Elephas maximus indicus: one gene and its partners. The protein of the gene in region 1 interacts with the protein of each later gene in a pairwise test. Links are inferred from orthologs where the notes say so. Each region holds a gene or a part of one and is shown in the gene's direction. Other genes may lie near its edges.

Region 1 (7,382 bases):
TAACAGCAGGCAAACCTCTTTCTGGTGCTGAGAAAACCTAGTCTATGTGACACAAAATCCCCAGTAATATGAGTACTCTCAGCCTCTTAGTCTCTCTTACTGTCTCAGGAGACCCCTGTCCTTAAGAGTTGGGCTTTCGGTACTAGTGCAGATTAGGGAAGCAAGGGAGAGAGTCAAAGGAGCTGAAACAAACTTTGATTCCCTTATGTTAGAAGGACAAGGACTTTCTTTTTGCAGAAGAGAAAAATACATTCAAGAAGTGAGAGGAGTGAAGGACTGAGAAAGCAAGTGCTAGGATTAAGAGAAAGTTTGAGGTGTTGAGGAAAAAGGAGAGAGACTGGAGGCAACAGTTATGCCATAAAACGTGCAATGCATAGAGGAGGGGAGAAGAGGAATTTAAGATGTTTTGCTCTGTGCTGAGAATGTAACCCCATTAGACTTTTCCCAGAGACTATAAAAAAATTGAAATTGCTTTTTAATTATTTTTGGCTATTGGGTGTGAAATCTTGCTGAGATGAGCCACAAGGCAGCTCAGCTTCATAAAAGTTAAATTTGGGGGAGTTACTGCCTGGGATTTGGGGGCCTAAGATGCAGCAGTCAGCTGTATGTTGATTTAAATAATTGTTATAGGTCTGAGTCAAGGGAGCAGCTTCATCATGACTGTTGGATTTGTAGTGCAAAAGACACACTAGCTTTAGAAAATCGAACTGGAGATCAGCTACACACCAGAATAGAGGAAAATGGCAGAGACAATTTAGAATCACAATCTTGGGGAGAATGTGATGTTTGGAACTAGGTGTACCTGATGGAGATCTACATCTATGCATCACGGGGTCTCTTCCCCTCATGGGCTGATGAGACTGGGCTGAAGGAATGGAACAGCTAAGGCGGCTCCCAGAAGATAAGAGAAAGGCAGGAAGCAGAAGAGGAGTGTGTAGGGTTTATTTTTACTCACTATGTGTCAGTCCCTCTGAATACTCTAGTGGGATGGCCAGGTTGTCCCTAAACCTCCTTTTTTTTTGGGAATGGGCCCACTCAACAACCTTAGGGCAATGACATCCAGAGTACCCAGTCCTGTAACCCAGCCAACTGAGTCTCTGCTTTGCTCTCTGCCTCTGTTTTTCTTATTCTCCAGAGACTAGAGCCTCCTCCTACTCCTCCTTGTCTGATTTTCCTACAGAATTCTGAAATTATCTGGTTCTCCTCCCTGTATTTTCAAGTCCTGCTACTGATTCACTCCCCCAGTTCCCACCTACCCGTGGCTCTTAAATGTCTGACCTGGAACTTGACTGGATCGGCCACACCCCTTGATCTCTGCACGCGTTTCCCATGTTCTTTCTTGCTTCTCCAATAATTTCCCCTCCCTCTAGGCTCAGCACCCCCTTTCTATCAGCAGACTTCATGGCCAGTGCCTCTGGAAAGCATGATGTAATCTTGTGATCCTATGCTGAAAGCCTTGACATATATGGTATACTCAACAACTGTGACAAAGAGCCTATATGATGGCATAACCCAGCTCCTACTGCCTGGAGGCTATGTTTAATTTAGGGATTGCTAAGATGGGAGGCCTATAATGGGGAGAGGGCCACTCTTTGTAGGCAGAAGGCAGGGACCCACCTGAAGGGTGAGGGAACTGGCAAGATGAAATCCTTCCCTTGAAGTGCAGGTGAAAAGATGTGAAGTAATAGCCTGAAGAAAAAAGCCTGAAAGCAATGCCAGGCTTTACTGGCTATAGCAGAGCTCTCCAGGCAGGATGACAGCAGGGTTGAACCCCATGTCTGCTCTGGAAACAAGCTCAAGGTGGTGTGATCAGAAACGTATGCTGTGTAAGCTCACCTGTTTTTGTGTGTCCTGTCTCAGCTGCCAGTTCTTCTATAGCTTTTTGTTTAGTCTTTTTGTAAATACCAGTCCACTTTTTCCTTAAGGAAACCGAGGAAAAGCATTTCTGTCCTCTTTTGAGTCAGGGCTTTAGGGCTAACCTGTGGGGGCTCATTGTGACAACAGTGATAACCAAGGTGAGAGTGCTCAAGTTTGTGGAATGAATGAATGAAGGAAGGACAGACCTAGCAGTACAACTGAATCATTAGTTTTAGAAAATACAATATTATGGGTCTTTTATATCTTTGTATATTTGTTTTAGGAAATAAGTTTCTAATAACTACTTTTTTATATTAACAATGTTTTAGATTATTTAAACATTCCGCTGTTGGATATTTAGGATATTTCCAATTTATTTCTACTTTATAGCAGTAATACAGGCAAAGACCGAATAGTTCTTTAGTGCCATGAATGTTTTTCTGGGCCCCACTCTTCACTACGGAAGCCCCAAAGGACCAAGTTTGCTCTCATTGAACCATTAGTGTACAAAACACTCACCCATAGCTATCTTGTCCCCATCTTGAAGGGATGCTGTTTGTTTCTCCTCCCCAGATTTATTTGATCTTGTGAACTTCATTTTTGGTTTCTGATCACTTGGCTTCTCCAATTTACTGTTGTTGTTGGGTGCCACTGAGTGGATTTTGACTCATAGTGACCCCATGTGACAGAACAGAACTGCCCCATATGGTTTTCTTGGCTGTAATCTTTTCAGAAGCAGATCATCAGGTCTTTCTCCTACGGAGCAGCTGAGTGGGTTCGAATTGACAACCTTTCAGTTTACCAGCCAAGAGCTTAACCTTTTTGCCACCAGGGATCCTCTCCAACTTACTGGGTTTATTTTAATTAAGGAGACTTGGTGGCACAGTGGTTAAAGCACTTGAATCCAAATTGAAAAGTTGATAGTTTGAACCTACCAGCTACTCCATGGGAGAAAGATGTGGCAGTCTGCTTCCTTAAAGGTTTACAGACTTAGAAACCCTATGGGGGCAATTCTATTCTGTCATGTGGGGTCTCTATGAGTCAGAAGTGACTCCATGGCAGTGGGTTTGGTTTTGGTTTTATTATTAATTAGTATGTTGCTGCCCAGGGCCTGACTGCTTCTCACTTTACTGTCATCTGTAAATATATTAAATCCAATTTTTTCTTCCTCATCTTCACCTCCCACTAGGCTTTTCAAACAGTGAAAGGGGTTGTCACAAAGGTTGGGACACTCAGTGTATATTTGCACTGGGTGGAGGGAGGGGAAATTATCCTCACACACAGTTCGCCCATCCATCCCCTCCACACAACTGTCAACAGTTTATGCCTTTATTCGTAAGCTGACACAGAGCATTACTCAGAGTTAGAAATAATATTATAGATTATCCAGTCCAGACCCCTAGAAGATCAGGAAAATGATTTGGCCAAGGTCTCTGAATTAATAAGTAGCAGAATCAAAACTTGAATTCAGGTCTCCTAACATTCATCTAGGAGTCCTGGTGACACAGTGGTTAAGTGCTCTGTTGCTAATCAAAGGTCAGTAGTTCAACCCACCAGTGGCTCTGAGGGAGAAAGACGTGGCAGTCTGCTTCTGTAAAGATTACAGCTTTGGAAACCCTATAGGACAGTTCTACTCAGTCCAATAGGATCACAATGAGTTGGACGCCACGGTTTTTGGTTAACCTCCGTCTAGGAGTCCCTGGGTAGCACAGTTAAGCATGCTACTAGCCCAAAGGTTGACATTTTGAACCCACCCAGAGGTACCTAGGAGAACAGGCCTGGTGATCTGCTTCCAAAACGTCACGGCCTTGAAAACCCTACGGAGCAGTTCCACTCTGCACACATGGGGTGCCCATGAGTCAGAATGGACTCCATGGCAACTAACAACATCCACCTGGGTGAGGGAATGGGACACGACACAGTGGTTCTTGTTAAAGCATTCATTTAACAAATACACTGAGCACCTACTTACTATGTTCCAGGCACTAGGGATTCAGCGATTGGGGGGTGGGAGGGAGAGGCAAAATCTCTGCTCTTCATAGAGCTTTCATTCTCAACACTTAAGTGCTTCGCGTCACCGTCCTGGAAAATACCCTAGTGACCTGGGAAGGAGCGATTGGGTCTTCCATGGAAGGGAATCCCATCCTTTCTCAGTTTCTGTGCTTTCTACAAAGACAGCTGATTTACTGCAGAAGCCGAAGTGTGAGGCAGAAATCTCGGTAGTGCTCTCCTTCTACCCTGCCGAAGCCTGGCGGGGCCGGATCCAGGGTGCCGCGGCGCACCAGCTCAAGTCAGATGATTAGCTTGGGCCTCTCTACCCTCTCCGTGTTCCTGCGGACAGCTGGAGGACAGAGAAGCAGGACCCAGCTCTGCGCCATCCCTCAGGGAAGGGAATGCGCGCTGGTGAGAACGCTCCCGAGGCAGTCGCACTCAATGTCTGATACCCAGACTGGGGAAGGGATGATCCCCCTGGGCTTTTGGGTTTACGCAGCAAACTGCTTTCTCATGCTTCCCCATTGAACATTGCAGCCACACGCTCTTTCCAGCCTCGCCGAGGCCACTGCAGCGCTCTACTCTTCCCTTCCGCCCCACTCGTTAGCTCCGACTCCAGAGCCTCGGTTCCTTTTTCTTCGCCACTTCCTGGTTGCTATGGAGACATACGTCATTTACGTGCCGTGCGTCGCCTTGGAAACAGAGGAGCATCCGCGGCGCAGTGGGGAAGTCGGCCCCAGCCGCTCCAAACACGCTCGCGGGCGCTGCCTGTTAATGGCTGGGGGGAGTCCCGAGCCGGACGCGCTGCTGGCCTCTGTCTCGGCCCGAGCCCCTCAGCGAGCGCCTTTGTGACTCAGGGAACCGGCGGGCACTCGCTGCTCCTGGCGCCCTGAGGGCGGCGCTGATACGGGCGCAACCCCGGAGCCCAGGCAGGGCGCGGAGCTTTCGCCCCGGGACGAGCCCGAGAGACGCCGGCACTGGGACCCTCGCCCGGTCCTCTTCCCGCCGCTTCTCCTTGGACTCCCCCGAGCCTGCCCGTGCCCTCCGCCCAGGACTCGTATCCTTACGTCGGCTTCCCGCCCCTCTCGGGAGCCTCCTCTTCCCTGGGCTCCTCCCCGCCTCCTCCCGGGACCCCCTCCTTGCCCTTCCCCCGCCCGGAGGCCCGGCCGGACCGGACCCCGAGCCGCCACCGCCCGCTTCTGCCGTTCAATGGAGGACGGTCTGCTGGAGATCATGACCAAGGACGGCGGCGACATGCCGGCGCCTCTGGAGGTGTCCACGGTGCCGGCCGTGGGGGACGTGATCGCCGGGGAGTACAACGGCGGCATGAAGGAACTGATGGAACACCTGAAGGCCCAGCTGCAGGCCCTGTTTGAGGACGTGAGGGCCATGCGGGGGGCCCTGGACGAGCAGGCTTCGCACATCCAGGTACTCTCGGACGACGTGTGCGCCAACCAGCGCGCCATCGTCTCCATGTGCCGGATTATGACCACGGCGCCCCGCCAGGGCGGCCTGGGCGTGGTCGGCGGCAAAGGGAGCTTCCCGGGCGCCCCCCAAGAGCCGGAGAACCCTTCGCCTGGGGCCGGAGGCAGCGGCTTGCTGGGTCGCGAACCCGAGGACGAGGAGGACGACGACGACGAAGTAGAGAAGAAGGAAGTGCCCAGCCCCGCCACACCCACCAGTCACTGTGAGCGTCCCGAGAGCTCCTGCGCTGGTCTCCTTGGGGGGGACGGGCCACTTGTGGAGCCCCTCGACCTTCCCGACATCACCCTTCTGCAGATGGAGGGCGAGGCCTCCCTGTGAGGGGACTCCGCAGAGGCACCTTTCCGGGCTGGCTGTGGGTTTCCCAGTGCATGACGTGAGAGGACTGAACGGCGCGGTGCCGCATGCTACCTCGTAGATCAGGCAGGGAGAGACTCCCGAGGAATGATTTGTAAGGTGAAGGACTTTGGGAGCATCAAGAATTCTTTCTGCACAACCAAGCGAGAGGTAGCAAACGGCGGAAAGGTGAGGCTCCAGGAGAGGAAGCGCCCGTCTCTGGACTCCTATCCATCCCCTACCCTACCCTTACCCCTCTCCGGCCAACAGGAGAACCCCTGACTTGTGTAAATAAATTCTGCTTTTTCTATTCTGAAAAAGGACTTATCTAGGACTATGGCAAATAATCTCTAAAGATTTACCTAGAAATTAAGGAATTGGGGTATTCTGTTCTGGCAACAGGACATTTGCCCTTCTGCTGAAACCCAACTTATTCAGTGCTCTGCAGAAGGCTCTCCCCCTCACAGATCTCGGCGGCTCCTGATTGGTAAAGGAAGCTTGAGGAGGGAACCGCAGCCCTAGGAATCTGGGTGAATGGGGTTCCAAGGGCCCCTGGGCTGGGAGGAGCTGGCTGTGAATGTGCATGAAGACATAATAGTTCAACCTCTAGGATTTTGCATGCAGAGCGGATCCTGCCTTGTCACTGACTTCATCCGGGATTGCTTTTCCACTCACTGGGGTTTAGAGAACAAAGAACCCAGCTCACAGGCAGAGACTCGGGTGCTCAGCAGTAGCCCAGATTTAGGGGACGTTTGAGGGACTCTTGGGAGCCGCAGCCAAAAGTTCTCTCTCTTCTGGCTACATCCACTTAACTTCAGTTCCTTTTGCTGCCAAAATATCCTTGCCCGCTGCCTCTCGGTGTTGCCTCCATGATGTCTTGTGTGTATTATGTGTGTCCACATGTGTAGTAGTGTGTGAGCCCTGAGGGGCAGGGCTTGTGGCTCTGGCGTTAGGTTTAGGGGACATCCGACCCTTCTGAGTCCCAAGCTGTCATGGCGCTTCCCCTTCTCCCTTTCTACCCCCACCAGGGCATGGAGCATGTGGCTGTCCTGAGGTTCCTTAACTCACGTGCCTCCCTGCTGCCTCCTCAAGTGGTGACTTTGTGTGCCCATCCCCCTCCTTTGTGTATCCCTTTCTCAATGCTTTCCTTGGTGTTAACCTTAATAAAGAGGCGTCATCTCCCCTCCTTGCTGACTGGTACTAGAGGGATGTTAGGGTGGGGCTTCTGGGCCCACTGCATGGACCAGGGCTTAGTGGGAACTGCCTTCCCTCCTCTCTCCTTGCTTCTAGTTCCAAGGAGTTGACCCACCATGGTCGGGACAGTCACTGCCAGTTTTGCCTGCTTTCCCTTCTGATCTGGACCTTGATCTCAAGTTGGACTAGGGAAGAAGGGAATATTTGTTGAGACTCCCAAACTAACAAGAATTTTTAGTAACCAGAACTTCAGATGTGCTAAAGACTTCTTTTCAGTGAAGCACCTGGCCCCTAGGAAATGATTTCCAAGTCTGGATCCTGGAATGGCAGGCGTGACATTTGTTCCATGGAAGGGTTAAGGAGGGGAGACCTTGGGTGGTACGGTTAGTGCTCAACTGCTAACCAGAAGGTTGGAGGTTTGAGTCCACCCAGAGGCACATCGAAAGAAAGGCCTGGTGATATACTTCTGAAAAATCACCCACTGAAAATCCCATGGAGCATAGTTCTACTGTGATACGCAT
Region 2 (7,387 bases), on another chromosome or scaffold:
GGGGCAGTAGAGCTTCACCATGGCCTCGCCTGGGATATCCGACAGGCCTGCGAGACAGCCAGACTCAGCCGACTGGGCACCTTCTAACCTGCACAACTTTCACCCAGGACTTGGGCCCCGACTTGCTAAGTCCCAACACATTCCCAGGGCACCTGCCATATGTCATCTACCACTATCCAATACTCACCAATGGGGAGCATTGGCTGGTTCTCACAGTACACACGGGGACAGTAGCCAAAGTCTCCTTGCTGGTATTTTTCCAACTGAGGTAAATAAAATGGCGAAGACTGGTAGACAGGTGTGAAATGATGCAACCCACATAGTGCTAACTCCCCCCTCAGCCCAACCTATATCACTGTGCCCCTAATCCTTCCACCTCTGTCCAGAGGCCCCTTCCCTAGCCCAGACAGACCCTCAGACTCTGCTGCCTCCTTTCCTCCAGTCAGGCAGGCTGCAAACCAGAGTCATTCACTGTTTGTTCCCCAAGAAAGAGATAGTCTGCAAGAACTTCCCATTCAGGGTCATGTCTCCCTCCTGAAAACAGCCTCCCACAACATGCCCCGAAATCAGGACTCAACTCCCAGGCCCAGATTCTGGGCTTCTTCCCCTCTTCTCAGCTAGACTCCCTGGCAAAGTTGAAATGTATGACTTCTTGCTGCTGGAACCTGTTTCCCTTATTGCCTCAAAAGGAGTCAAGTGGGAGTAGAGTCCTCACCATCTGGGCGATGCCACGGTTGGTGAGGATGTAGCGGGCGTGGATCAATCCATACAGCATCTCAGCTGCCTGCTCAATCAGGTCACTCTGGTTGGGGTTGTCTTCCAACTCTTCATCTGAAACATGGCCCGGCCCAAATGCAACCACTTGCCATTCAGCCTTCCTGAGGGTGCTCCACTCACTCCCAGTGGCTGCTGGCTACTCAATTTGCCCACCACCTATCTCTGAGTCTCACCCCACCCATCACCTGGACATTCAACCCGTAAACCTAGGTTTCTGACCCCTTCCACCAACCCAGGGCAGCTCTGCCTTCCCTCCACACCTCTTCAGCCTCCGTTCTCTTCTCTACCCCTACCTCGCTTCTCAATACATAAATGCAAAGATGTCAACGCAGAAGGTGGAACTCTAGACTGGAAGGTGCAGGGCAGAAGAAACAGGCAGAAAACAAGACACTTGGGGAAAGTGGCATTATGGAATAAAGCCGAATTACAGAATCAGTGAGCACAGGAACAGATGGCAGATGTCACTAAACCAGGCAAGAGCCAGGTGGAGAATCAAAGTGAAGGAAGAGATTTTGGGATAAAGGAGACAAAGAGCCAAAAGAAAATTTAGAAATTCAAGAAACAGGGGAATTGGGATTTTGAGAGGAGGAAAAATCAAAACAAAACAACAACCCTGAAAGTGCCTCACCAGGCTCCAGGTCCAAGATCATGTCAAGGGCTTGTCGATAGTGGGGTACCTGCTCATTGAGCCCTGTGAGGTTGAACTTGTCTTGGATGTAGTCTTCATCCACCTGTCAGGATGTGGAAGTGAAGAAGGAAACCACAAAGAAACTCCAGGCTTTGGCACAGACATGTTGCTCTAACTGATGCCTTGTTCTCAACACAACTGCTTCTGTTCCCGTCATCCCCCACCCCAAACTCAAAAGAGGTACTCACACACTCCCTCTCCTAAAAGCCCTGGCCTTTCTTTTCTAAGGATGTCTCCTCAGATAGACATTCTTTTCAAGTTCCCTATCCGTACTCCTGCACCCCATCTCTAGGAACCAGTTTTGTTCTCTCTTTAAGGATAGCTGGCTCTCTGAGGAAGGTGGAGACTGACAGCTCAGATTCTGAAGGTTACAATCCCTTACGTTAACAGAGAACTTTACACATTACCAAACATTTTAACAGGTAGTATTTCAATTCTCGTAACAGCCACCTGAGACAGGTACTATCAGTACTATTCTAGTGATAACAAAGACATGGATTGACCTTCTCGACATCTTCCTGTCGGAAGATGGAAGGCTTGGGACTTGAGCACCAGTCTTGCCGCTTCACTACAGGTTAATGGGAGGTACTGAGGGGACACTTCCTTGACAAGAGGGAGTTTCCATGGAAGCATCGGAAAAAATTATAAGAAGGCTGAATATGTGTGGGAACGCCTGGGGTCAGAGTCTGTGTGGAGCTGCGCTGGCAAGCAGGGAGACTGAGGAGAACTCACTTCACAGAAGAACTCATTGCCACGGAGCCCACAGAACCAGGAAATCCAGGACACCTCCTCTGAACTGCTCATCTTTACGTCAGCTTGAAAAATAAGGGTGTAAGTAAAGCCGGTGACCCAGAGCTTTCCCTCCCTCCCTCTGTCTCTAGTATCCTCCCTCCTCCCACACTTCACCTTCCAACCACAGAAGAACCTTGGGGTCAGCCTTTCTTAAAGGAGAGCCCTGGTGCTGGAGTGGTTAAGAACTATGGAGAGCTGCTACTGCTAACCAAAAGGTGGCAGTTTGAATCCACCAGCTGTTCCTTGGAAGCCCTATGGAACAGTTCTCCTCTGTCCTATAAAGTCTTCAGTAGTCAGAACTGACTCGATGTCAACGGGGTTTTTTAACGGGGTTTCTTAAAGACTCCCAGACTCCGGAGCACCCCTCTCCAACTCCTTTTATTTACACCTCAGCCCCTTTTCTCTGCAGTTAGAAATCCTGTGCAGTCCACTTGCAAGAAACCAAGAGATGTGACCCACCAGTCCTACCCGCATCCCTGGCTCTCCCGCAAGCCGGGCCCCTCTCCCTTCCGTGTCAACTCCAGCAGGGTCCTCGACTCCGGCTCCCTACCACAGTAGGGCTCTGCAAGTTTCCGGAGCCTTTCCCAAAGGTCCCGAAGTTTATCCTTCCCGGGAAAGAGCCCGGCCCCTCCTTTTCTGACGGCCTGCGGGTGACTGTCAGATCCCTTCCACAGGAGCCCGCACATACCGCAGCCGCCCCCCAGGACACCCCTCCCTCCCTCCCTCCCTCAATGCCGGACCGGGTCACTTCCTTCCCCGCCCCCACATCGAGGCGCAGAGACCCCATGTGCAGCGCCAACGAAGAAGAAGGCTCGGCGCGGCGAGGACCTCAGACTAACCTGCTGGACAGGGGCCGGGAGTGGGGCGGGGAGGGGAGTTGCTGCTTCCAAGCGACAGCTACAACGAAGGCCGTGGACCCGACCGCGGCAGGCGACGCGCGGTGGGGGGAGTGGAAATTGGGGAGGGTGGGGAAAAGAGCAACGCGCAAGCGCCAAAGGTCCGGCACCGCGGTGGACGCCGGGAAATAGAGTCCCCGGTAGGGACAAACTGGCGAAACGAGGGAAAAGCTAACTACGAATCCCAGGATGACCCGCACACGACTCTGGTTCGCTGGGCCCGCGAGGAAGACGCTCGAGGGCGGGGCGCAGCGAGGCGCCACCGGAAGCGGAAAACAAATGCCGCATTCGGGGCCAGAGCCTGGGAAATACAGAGTTTTGCTCCTAGGACTGAGGGGCCGAGTGGGGGCGGGGAAATCAGCGCGCCAGGCTGAAGTCTCTCCCTGCCTCTCTCCTCACTGCTTGATACTCAAGTCCTGGCTAAGCGCCTCCGCCCTGGAGTCTAGTCCTGTTTATTCCTAGTCTCGTCCAGGCCGTCGCGTCTTTCTTGCCTGTTAGGTCCCTTGCCCCAGTCAGGCCTATTCCTGGGGCTTCCCCTTCTCCATAGGGCCCACGTTTCACCCAGAGCCCCGGCCTCCTGAGAAAGAAAATGCTCCGTGCTGAGAGACCTAGGTGGGCTGGACTGGGCTGGGCTGGGCTGGGCTGAGCGATGTGAGAACCGGGACGGCCCAGTGCGCTAACCTGAGGTGGCACCAGCCATCCTGGCGCTTGTCCCCTTGCACTTTTCCATATCCTCTTAGGCCTTGAATAGGACCTTCGACTGCGGGCTCAAAGTGTAACCTTCGAACCTTGGTCAGAGTAATGGTGAGGGGCAGGGTGACGTTATTTCATGTCACAGCTTCTTGGCATTGCAGATTTCCCTCCTCAGTGCCTTTCCTAAGTCAGGGAATGGTTTCCCGGCTCCAGAAAATGAGCTCGGAGCGGAGGGTCACCTCGAGGGAGGTGGAGGGCATTGTGGGGCGTTATGTAAAAGCAGGACCCCAACCGACAGATCTTCTTAGGTCCTCGCGCCGCCGAGGCACGCGACCCTTTGCAGATTGACTATTGGAAAGACTCCAGGGCGGGAAACTGAACCCGGCGCTTCACGCCTGCGCTCTGATGTAATCATGGCTTTTTTTTTTTTTTTTCCTGCCACGCATGCGTTGTCTTGTCTTGTGGCTATTTGATTGTAGCGTATCTTTTGATTAGAGTAGCGCCATTCTGCCGTACGGAAGCCACAAAGCAATGCAGGCGGAGCCTCTTGCCGAAATCTGCTTCCGGAGAAGTGCCGAGACTGTTTTTGTTTGAAAGACGGAACCCCGAAATAGGAGCAGGAAGATTTAAAGGGCCAGGCCGGTTTTTTTTTATCTTAAACGTATGTCATTTGGTGTGGAAAAGTCGGTTCAGAGAGAGGCTCTCATTACTTTTATATGAGAGCGGGGTGGCAGGGCGGGACATAGGCCCTCTGAGCAACTCTCTCATGGAATTTTCTTTGTTGACATTTAGCAAGGAGCAGGTTATTGTAGGGTTTCCTGTTTTTACATGTGACCTATAACCCTTGGAGCCCTGGTGGCGCAGTGGTTACGAGCTTGGCTGCTAACCAAAATGTCGGCGATTGGCATTCACCAGCCGCTGCGTGGAAACCCTGTGGGGCAGTTCTACTCTGTCCTCCTGTAGGGTCGCTATGAGTCGGTCCTTAGGCGCTTAGGCCCTGCCGGGCCTTAGATTGTGGGGTCACTTTTGGGGCAGGAGGGGATCTTGGATTCTAAGGCTACTTTTCTTCCTTTCGGCAGCTTCCTGGAGGTGGATCTCGGCACTACAGGGGCTTTTGGGCAGTTGGCTTGCTTTTCTCAGCCTTCCCTTGCCCAGCCTCATTTTCTCAGCTCTCACAAAAGCCATGTCCAGGCCGTCCCTCATCACCTTCACCCCAGCCAGCGATTCTAGTGACCTCTGGAAAGATGGGCAGCAGCAGCAGCCACAGCCTGAGGAGCCAGAACCCGCCTTGGATGGGTCTGCAGTCCGTGCTTTCTACGAGTCACTGATAGAGAGCGAGAGCAGCTTTCCTGAACCCCAAAGATCGCACCCTGAGCCTGCCAGGGAGAAAAAGAGGAAGAAAAGAAGACTGATGAGGGAGGCTGCGGCAGAAGCAATGGCAGTGGCAGAGGCAGCATCAGGGGTACATGGACAAGAGGGATCCCTTGAGGCAGAGGACAAGCTAACCCAGTGGATACTGAGGGCAGCTCAGGAGGGGGACCTGGCAGAACTTCGAAGGCTGCTGGAACCCAGTGAGACAGGAGGAGCTGGGGGGAATATCAATACCCGTGATGCCTTCTGGTGGACTCCCCTGATGTGTGCTGCCCGAGCTGGCCAGGGGGCAGCTGTGAGCTATCTCCTGGGCCGAGGGGCTGCCTGGGTGGGAGTTTGTGAGCTGGGTGGCCGGGATGCTGCCCAGCTGGCGGAAGAAGCCGGCTTCCCCGAGGTGGCCCGCATGGTCAGGGAGAGCCATGGAGAGACGAGGAGCCCTGAGAACCGGTGAGAAAGTCTTAGCCCATGCACATATTTCAAAGTGTTCTGCTCTTCTTACTCACTCTGCACCAGAGGCCCCAGAACAGAGCTGAGGGTCCCCCTGCCCCATGTAGGTTGATAAGGCAATGTAGTAGCATGGTTACAGACATGAGCTCCATTGGTTTGAATCCTAACTCCACTTACTTGGGCAAACAACCTAAATGCTATGTGTCTCAGTTTCCTTATCTGAGAGATGGTGGGTAATAATAGTACCTTTCTCGTAGGGTTAAGATTAAATGGGCTAATACGTGCAAACTACTAGAGCAGTGCTTGCCATGTAGTTGTTAGTTGCCATTGAGTCAATTCTAATTCACGGTGACCCCATGTGTACAGAGTAGAATGCTTCATAAGGTTTTCAAGACTTTGACCTTTTGGAAGTAGATTGCCAGGCCTGTCTTCCTGGGTGGATTTCAACTGCCATCCTTTTGGTTAGTAGTGGAGTGCGTAGCCATTAGCCTCACCCAGGGGCTCCTTTGCTACATGGTAAGTACTATATAAATATTAATTGTAATCATTATTATTCCTTCCTCCAAAAGTCTTGTGAGGCCTAGTTACCATTTCTTCTCCCAGCCATTCCCCTCTGGGTTTCTCATTGCTAAGTGGGGAGGAAAGCAATTTGTTCCTTAGCAGAAGGGCTGAAAAGACCTTGTCCCACCCTGCCAGCACCCCTGAAGCTTCTGTACCCTTCTCCTGACCCATAACCCCCTCCCTCAACTCCTTCTCTTCTTCCTCTGCAGGCCCCAATCTCGCGCCTCCCACTATTGCGAGACCTGTGACGCCTACTTCCAAGATGCCAACCACTGCACATCCACCGCCCACCTGCTGTCACTGTCCCAGGGTCCCTGCCCCCCTAGTCTTCCCCCTGGGGTGCCTGCCTCCAGCCCAGGCTTCAGGTTGCTGCTGAGGGGAGGCTGGGAGCCAGGGATGGGGCTTGGACCCCGAGGTGAGGGTCGCACCAACCCTATCCCCACTGTCCTTAAGAGGGACCAGGAGGGTCTTGGCTACAGATCAGCACCCCAGCCCCGGGTCACACACTTCCAGGCTTTGGATACCCGGGCTGTGGCTGGGCGGGAGCGAGCGCCTCGGGTGACCACACTGAGCCGGAAAGAGGAGAGAAGGCGAGAGGAGAAGAGCAGGGCTTGGGAGCGGGATCTCAGGATGTACATGAACCTTGAATTCTGACCTTGGTGAGGTTTGACCCTGGTCTGCTGCCAGAGTCTGAACTTTGGCCCATGACTTGGGTACTTTAGCCTGTACTCCCAGAGGTCTGCCCAGGTCCCAGACCCTCAGGTTTTGGTCACTGGGCCCTCCCTGCCTTTTGGGAGAGAAGGGCTGAGAGTTGAGAAATAAATCAATCTTCATTCTCTTTCCTAATCTGTTCATTTTTCTGGAAGCTGTTGTGGGGGAAGCCAAACTGAAGTCTGGGGGCCACATTAGCATGGCCAATTGGAGCCACAGGAGCAGCTACCTCCAGATGGCATGATAGAGTCATCTCCCTACCAATCTGGTTCTTTTGGAGGCCTGTTGTTGTTCTTAGGTGCCGTCAAGTCGGTTCCAACTCATAGTGATCCTGTGTACTACAGAACGAAACACTACCTGGTCCTTCACCATGCTCACAATTGTTATGCTTAAGCCCATTGTTGCAGCAACTGTGTCACTCCATCTCCTGGAGGGTCTTCCTCTTTTTCGC
Region 3 (7,576 bases), on another chromosome or scaffold:
GCTTTTTGAGGAAGTGCCATATCGTTTTACATGGTGGTTGAACCAATTTACAATCCCAACAGCATGGAAGCAGAGTTCTAATCTCTCTGCAACCTCTCCAGCATTTGTTGTTTTCTGATCAGTGCCACTTTTGAAGTGATGAAATCGTATCTAATTGTAATTTTGACTTGCATCTCTCTGATGGCTAATTACTGTGATTATCTTTTCATGTGTTTGCTGGCCACTTGAATATCCTCTTTGGTGAGGTGTCTGTTCATGTCCTTTGCCCGTTTTTTAATTGGATTATTTGCCTTTTCACTGTTGAGTGTTAAGGTTTTCTGTGTATTTTAGAGACTAAACCCTTATCGGATATATCATTCTAAAAGATTTTTTTTCCCAATCTGTAGCTTCTTTTTTTAGTTTTTTGTAAACGTGATGGTTAAGGTTGTATGTCAATTTGCCTGGGCAATGATTCTCAGTAGCTTGGCAGTTATGGTGTAGTTTGGCAATTATGTAATGATGTAATGAACTCCATGATGAAATCTGCTATGAGCAGCCAATCAGTTGAAAGTGAGTTTCCTTGGGGGTGTGGCCTGGCTCCAGTATATAAATGGGTGTTACAGCAAGGCTTTCATACTAGATGCTATATCCGGCTTGTCATCATCTGACTTCCAGTTCTTGGGACTTGAACTAGCAGCTTACCTGCTGATCTTGGAGTTTGTCAGCCTCCATAGCCTGTGAACCAGTGACATGCCATCTGACCTGACAATCTTGAGCTCATCAGCCCTTGTAGATACATGAGTCAGGAGAAGCCTCCAGCCTAAAGCCTGACCCATGAACTTAGGACTTGCCAGCCTCTACAACCACATGAGCCATTTCCTTGAGATAAATCTCTCTCTGCACATGTACATATATACACATATATATATACACATACACACACACACACATATATATATACCTCATGGGTTTTGCTTCTCTACAAAATCCATCCTAAGAAGATAAAATTTTTGGTGAGCATAAGTATTTAAATTTTAGGAGGTCCCAGTTATCTAACATGTCTTATGTTGCTTGTGTACTTATAGTTGTGTTTGATAATCTATTACTGAAAAAAATTAGGTCCCATAATTTTGTCCCTGTATTATCTTCCAGGAACTTTATAGTTTTGGCTTTAACATTTAGGTCTTTGATCTATTTTGAGTTAGTTTTTGTGTATGGTATTAGGTATGGATCCTGTTTCAATTTTCTGCAAATAAATATCCAGTTTGGCCAGCACCATTTGTTAAAGAGACTGCTTCTTTCCCATTGAATGGACTTTGACTCTTCATTGAAAATCAGCTGCCCATAGACAGATGGATTTATTCCTGGGTTCTCAATTCTATTTCATTGGTTTATATGTCTGTCATTGAACCAGTACCAGGCTGTTTTGTTTATTGAGGCTGTATAGTATGTTGTGAGATCAGGGAGTGTGAGGCCTCCTACTTTGTTCTTCTTCTTCAATATTGCTTTGGCTATATAGGGTCTCTTTCCTTTCTGTATAAAGTTAGTATATTTTTCCACTTCATTAAAGAATGTTTTTGGAGTTTGGATTGAGATTGTATTATATCTATAGATCACTTTGGGTAGTGGTCATGGATTGAATTGTGTCCCCCCAAAATATCTGTCAACTTGGCTAGGTCATGATTCCCAGTATTGTATGATTGTCTATCATTTTGTCATCTGATGTGATTTCCCTATGTGTTGTAAATCCTATTGCTACGATGCTAATGAGGTGGATTAGTGCCAGTTATATTGATAAGATCTATGAGATTAGATAGAGTCTAAAGCCAATCTGTTTTGAGATATAAAAAAGAGAAGTGAGCAGAGAGACATGGGGACCTCATACCACCAAGAAAGCCTGCTGGAAGCAGAGCGTGCCCTTTGGACCTGAGGTTCCTGTGCTGAGATGCTCCCAGACCAAAGGAACGCTGATGCATCACAAAGACCTTCCTCCAGACCCAAAAGAGAGGGAAAGCCTTCTCCTGGAGCTGGCACCCTGAATTTGGACTTCTAGCCTACTAGGCTGTGAGAGAATAAACTTCTCTTTGTTAAAGCCATCTTCTTGTGGTATTTCTGTTACAGCAGCACTAGATGACCAAGACAGTGGCATTAACATTTTCACAATGTTAAATTTTCCAATCCATGAGTATGCAATATTTTTCCATTTATGAAGGTCACTTTTAGTTTCTTACAGTAGTGTTTTATAGTTTTCATTGTATAGGTCTTTTACATCCCTGGCTAGATTTATTCTTAGGTATTTTATCCTTTTGAGGGGTATTGTAAACTGTATTTTTAAAATTTCCTTTTCAGGGTTCTCCTTGTTAGTGTAAAGTAACCCGACTTATTTTTATGTGTTGATCTTGTACTCTGCCACTTTGCTGAATCCTTCTATTAGATCCAGTAGTTTCTTGTGGAATCTCTGGGATTCTCCATGTAAAGAATCGTGTCATCTGCAAATAGAGAGAGTGTTACTTCTTCCTTTCCAATTTGGATCCATTTTTTCTTTTCTTGTTTTATTGCTCTGACTAGGACTTTCAGGATAATATTGAATAAAAATGGTGATAGCAAGCATCCTTGTGTTGCACCTGCTCTCAAGGGGGAGGCCAGTTAATTATCTTTTAAGGATATTTAGCAATAAGAAAAAAATTTTTTGTATATTTACCTAAGTAGTTTCCATTTCCAGTGTTCTTCCTTCCTTTGTGTAGATCCATATTTCCATCTAGTATCATTTTTCTTCTGCCTGAAGAACTTCCTTTAGCATGTGTGAGTCTGCTGGTAATGAATTCTTTCAGCATAAGTATGTCTGGGAAAATCTTTATTTCATCTTTGTTTTTGAAGGATGTATTCATTGGGTATATATATATATATATATATATATATATATATATATATATATATATATATATATATATACATAGACAGTTTTCCTTTCTTTTTTTTTCCCCCTTAGTATTTTTTCTTCTCACTTGCATTCCTTTGGTGTGAAACATTCTGTCATCCTTATCTTTTTCTTTCCGTACATAATGTGTCATTTTCCTCTGGCTGCTTTAAAGATTTCCCCTTTATCACTGATTTTGAGCAGTTTGGTTATGATATGCCTTCGAGTGGTTTAATTCATGTTTTTTGTGCTCAAGCTCATTGACCTTTTCAGATCTGTGGGTTTTACAGGTTTCCAAAATTTTTAAAATATTTTTCCCACCCCTCCCTTCCTTTGGGGTTTGCAATTACATATGTATTAGGCCATTTGAAGTTGTGCTAAAAAATTACTACAGAGTATTCCTGAATATTCTCTACTCAGTTTCTCTAATTGTTTTGCTTTTTTCTTCCTCTTTCTGTTTTTCTCTTTCTCTCTCTTTGTCTCTCTGTCTCTCTCTCCACACACACACACAGTCACATATGGACACACATATGCACACACACATTGTTTTTTCTGAGCGTTTCGAGATTCAGTTGCAAACATGATGCCCCATTATTCCTTAATGCTTGAGTATGTATTTTCTAAGAAAAAAGAACTCTTCTGTACTACTATAGGTTTGATAGAAGATAGATCACACTTCAGTATTTCAATTTATTAACACTGCATACAGTCATAAATATTCAATAAAGACAGTTTCATGAAATTAAACTCTTGTATTTTAGCATTTTATTTTAGGGACAGTTTTAAATTGATTGATTCACTAAAATCAGGGATTGATAGTTCAAAAGGAATTTATAGTTTAAAGGAAAAATTACAACAATGAGGATCAAGAAAATGAATACCTATTGTATTTAAAGTAGAGATTCACATGGTAACAAGTGAAATACAAAATACCCAATTTTACTTTTCTATTTTTAGAATAGACATTTGTGGTTTTGTTTCATCAAAGCAGTATTAAATCATTGTTTATTTTAATATTATTAATTTTATACTTAGATGGTGCAGATTGATTTGGAATTTATGCATTTTTTAAGGGCCTGTAGACATAAAGAATATATATCATGTGTATGTTTAAGTAAGGAGCCCTGGTGGCACTGTGATTAAGCCCTTGGCTGCTAACTGAAAAGTCTGCAGTTCACACCCACCAGCCACTCTGCCAGAGAAAGATGTGGTAATTTGTTTCTGTAAAGATTATAGCCTAGGAAACCCTGTATGGCAGTTCTATCCTGTCCTATAGGGTTGCTGTGAGTCCATATCCACTCAAGGGCACACAACAACAATATTGTTTATATTATATTTAAATAACATTAGAGGAGTAATAGTTTGTCATTGATCCTGGATTTCCTGTTTTTTTTTTCCTTGCAGGAAGGTCCAATCATTATTTAAGACAGAAACGTGCTATGCTAGGCCCATAGATAAAATAAGGACCTAGAAATGATTATGGCCAGTACCCACATTTGTATTGTAACCGAAGATGAATTCCAATCTGCATGGGACATCTGTGTTTTTTTGTGACTAGAGCCGTGACAAAAGTTCCTGTTTTTCATAACTCACTTTTGCCTATTACCAACCTGTAGAAAATAAAGTTTAAAGAAGTCAGCTGGAGCTGCCTGCTTTCAACACCCAAAGCTAGTGATGCAAGGCCGTGTCAGCCCAAAGATTCCTCCTGACACTTGGGCACCCCAGTAAGGTAAGATGCTGCAGACCGAAAGGAGCTTCTGCCAGGCTCTCCAACGAGTCCTCACCAAGATCATCATCACATGGTGCAGATATCGTCAAACACACAATTTGCCTTTTGAATTTGTGTGTTCACTCTGCAGAGTTCAACCTGTTTTCACTATACCAAATTTCGTAAGTTTGTCTTAAACACCCATTCATCGTTTTAAACACTTTTTTTTTTTGTGGTACCAATATTGTCCTTTTTAATTTTCTTTAGAGTCGCAGAAGGATGCTGGCTGTTGTCTATGAACACACAGAAATTATAAATCATCTGTGACAGAGGAAACAGTTCGTCTGAAGAGGATACCAAAGGAAAAACTAAGAGAAACAAAAACATGGAGCTGCAGCAAATGGATGAAGAAGAGGAAAAAGAGAAGACCACCAGGTCTCAGCCCGAAAGTAAGACTTTTTGGTATAGCACTATATAGTTTCTAAATGGATCACACAAATTCATCTAAATGAACAAAATATGAATGTAAAAACGTTAAGTCTTTTTGTAAGAATCATACTTGTTGAGAACTAATTTAATTATTCAAATTAAAAACTAATATCTAGAGGCTTCTGCCTAAAATATTACGTATAAAAACCTTGGCTTACTTGTTATACTCTGTTTATGCTTTTCTGTTTCGCTTTTCTCAATTCCTCAGGACAGGGCAATGGTGCAAAAAGGGTTTACCAGAAATGAGTATTGAGCAACAGTCTCATCTTAAAATACTTTTGCAACTCGTTATGCAAAATCACTGTTGCAGAAAAATTGAGTTCCATTAAGCGCTATTCAGCAGACCAGTTATACCGTCTCTCTACCAGACTTTTTAAACCCATTCCTTTTCACAGGGAAGTTTTGTTCTCTTTGTATGCATACAGCAACCAATACATGCTAAACTGAAGTCCCTTACAACAAGTATGCAAATGTATTAGAAGAAAGTTTTCACTTAATTGAAGTTTGGGTTAAAATTAAAATACAACAATGCCATTTTAGGAATTGCAGGTGTCTTATTTACCTAGTGCTGCTATAACAAAAAATACCACAGGTGGAAGGCTTTAACAAAGAGAAATTTATTCTCTCACAGTCTAGGGAGTTAGAAGTCCAAATTCAGGGCACCAGCTCCAGGGAAGGCTTTCTCTCTCTGTTGGCTCTGAGGGAAGGTCCTTGTCATCAATCTTCCCTGGTCAAGGAGCTTCTTAGCACAGGGACCCCAGGTCCAAGGGAAGCGCTATGTTCTTGGTGCTTCTAACTTGGTGGTATGAGGTCCCCCTGTCTCTAGGCTTGCTTCTCTCTTTTATATCTCAAAAGAGATTGGCTTAAAACACAATCTAGTCTTGTAGATTGAGTCCTGCCTCATTAACATAACTGCCGCTAATCCCATGTCATTAACATCATAGAGATAGGATTTACAACACATAGGAAAATCACATCAGATGACAAAATGGTGGACAATCCCACAATACTGGGAGTCATGGCCCAGCCAAGTTTACAGATATTTGGGGGGCACACAATTCAATCCATGACAGTAGGCAAGGATAAAATTTTACTAATACCAAAATAATACAATTTCCACTACTTGTTTTCTACTCCTCCTTGTGTACCATGCACAGAAAAATAAATAAGCTTACTAAACAAAAAGGAACTTGCTTTTCTATGAGTTACCCATTGTGCCCTTTTCTTTTTAAAGTAATTTTTCTAATTTTACTTAGATTTTGAATGCAAGCAAAAAAGTCATTTGCTTTGGAGAGTCATTTTTTAAAAGGAAAAGAGCTTTGGGTCTTCTGTGGTCTTTGATAGTGCACTTGGATTCTTTATTTTTTAGTGGTTAAGGATTTGCATTTTGTGTTGGACACTAGGATTTGAATCTAGGTTCTTCTACTTACTGGTGCTGGGACTGTGGATAGGAGACTTGAAGTCTTATTTTCCCCCTTTGTCAAATGGGGTTGAGTAGGGCACATCTAATAAATTTGTGATGAGAATTATACGAAATTATATATGAAAATGTTAGCACAGTGCTTGGCAATTGTAACTGCAACAGCAAGTATTGGTTATCTTTAATATTGGTATTAGTATTATCCTATGAGTCGGAATCGACTCGGCGGCACTGGGTTTTTTTTTTTAGTAGTATTATGGGATTTCCCTTTTTTAATAATCTGGAGCTGGCTGATTATTTTATGTTTGAATCTTGAGCTTCAAGGTTTAGAATCTGTATTCTCTGGTAAGGCTGTGTGTGTTGAGTACTGATGGATTTTTTGCAGTACCGAAATACAGCCTTCCTCACATATCTAGAAACAACTTAGAACTTCTAAGATGTAGAAACATTTAAAACCTTAAAAATAAACCTATCACCTTACAAATTCTCATTTACATATTTCTATAAATTACGTGTTATATAAAGAAGCTATAAAAGATTCACCTGTGAATCTGAGGATATTTCTTTAGTCTGAGTGTACTGGAGAAAAATTTATATTATGTCACATACTGTATGTTTTCTTCATAAAGCTAATCAGTGAATTGAACAGTAATATGATAATACATATCACCAGGGGCTATTTTTGTAAGGACTGTAGGTACAGAATTTCTGAAGCTGGCATTTGAGGGCTATGATCTAGCTGCTAATTAAGGATGGCATATCAGTTACGGTCCCAACAGGAAACAGATGATACATTCAAATTAACCACCCACTGCCCTTGAGTCGATTCCGACTCATAGCAACCCTATAGGACAGGGTAGAACTGCGCCATAGAGTTTCCAAGGAGCACCTGGCAGATTTGAACTGCCGACCTCTTGGTTAGCAGCCATAGCACTTAACCACTACACCACCAGGGTTTCCACATTCAAATTAGAATAACTCAAAACCAAAACCAAACCCACTGCCATTGAGTCGATTCCGACTCACAGCGACCCTATAGGACAGAGTAGAACTGCACCATAGA

What was found.
Region 2: the proteins of CCDC184 (region 1) and GPANK1 interact in binary tests that used the Homo sapiens proteins (3 or more experiments, as listed by UniProt). The two-hybrid records come from large-scale screens. The link is inferred for Elephas maximus indicus from reciprocal best matches to the Homo sapiens genes CCDC184 and GPANK1.
Region 3: the proteins of CCDC184 (region 1) and STX11 interact in binary tests that used the Homo sapiens proteins (3 or more experiments, as listed by UniProt). The two-hybrid records come from large-scale screens. The link is inferred for Elephas maximus indicus from reciprocal best matches to the Homo sapiens genes CCDC184 and STX11.

The regions. Positions count from the first base shown.
Region 1 is NC_064822.1:103,058,355-103,065,736, forward strand, and holds CCDC184 (coiled-coil domain-containing protein 184), read left to right. Parts: upstream 1-4,560; 5' UTR 4,561-5,058; coding exon 5,059-5,652; 3' UTR 5,653-6,853; downstream 6,854-7,382.
Region 2 is NC_064819.1:93,194,580-93,201,966, reverse strand, and holds the start of GPANK1 (G patch domain and ankyrin repeat-containing protein 1), read left to right. Parts: upstream 1-4,341; 5' UTR 4,342-4,507; intron 4,508-4,925; 5' UTR 4,926-5,029; coding exon 5,030-5,664; intron 5,665-6,434; coding exon 6,435-6,879; 3' UTR 6,880-7,387. Other genes in the region: CSNK2B (casein kinase II subunit beta), read right to left, coding at 1-47, 188-287, 716-831, 1,406-1,508, 2,198-2,269.
Region 3 is NC_064819.1:214,682,161-214,689,736, forward strand, and holds the start of STX11 (syntaxin-11), read left to right. Parts: upstream 1-4,530; 5' UTR 4,531-4,625; exon of another isoform or gene 4,626-4,786; intron 4,787-4,871; 5' UTR 4,872-4,989; coding exon 4,990-5,053; intron 5,054-7,576. UniProt on the Homo sapiens protein: SNARE that acts to regulate protein transport between late endosomes and the trans-Golgi network.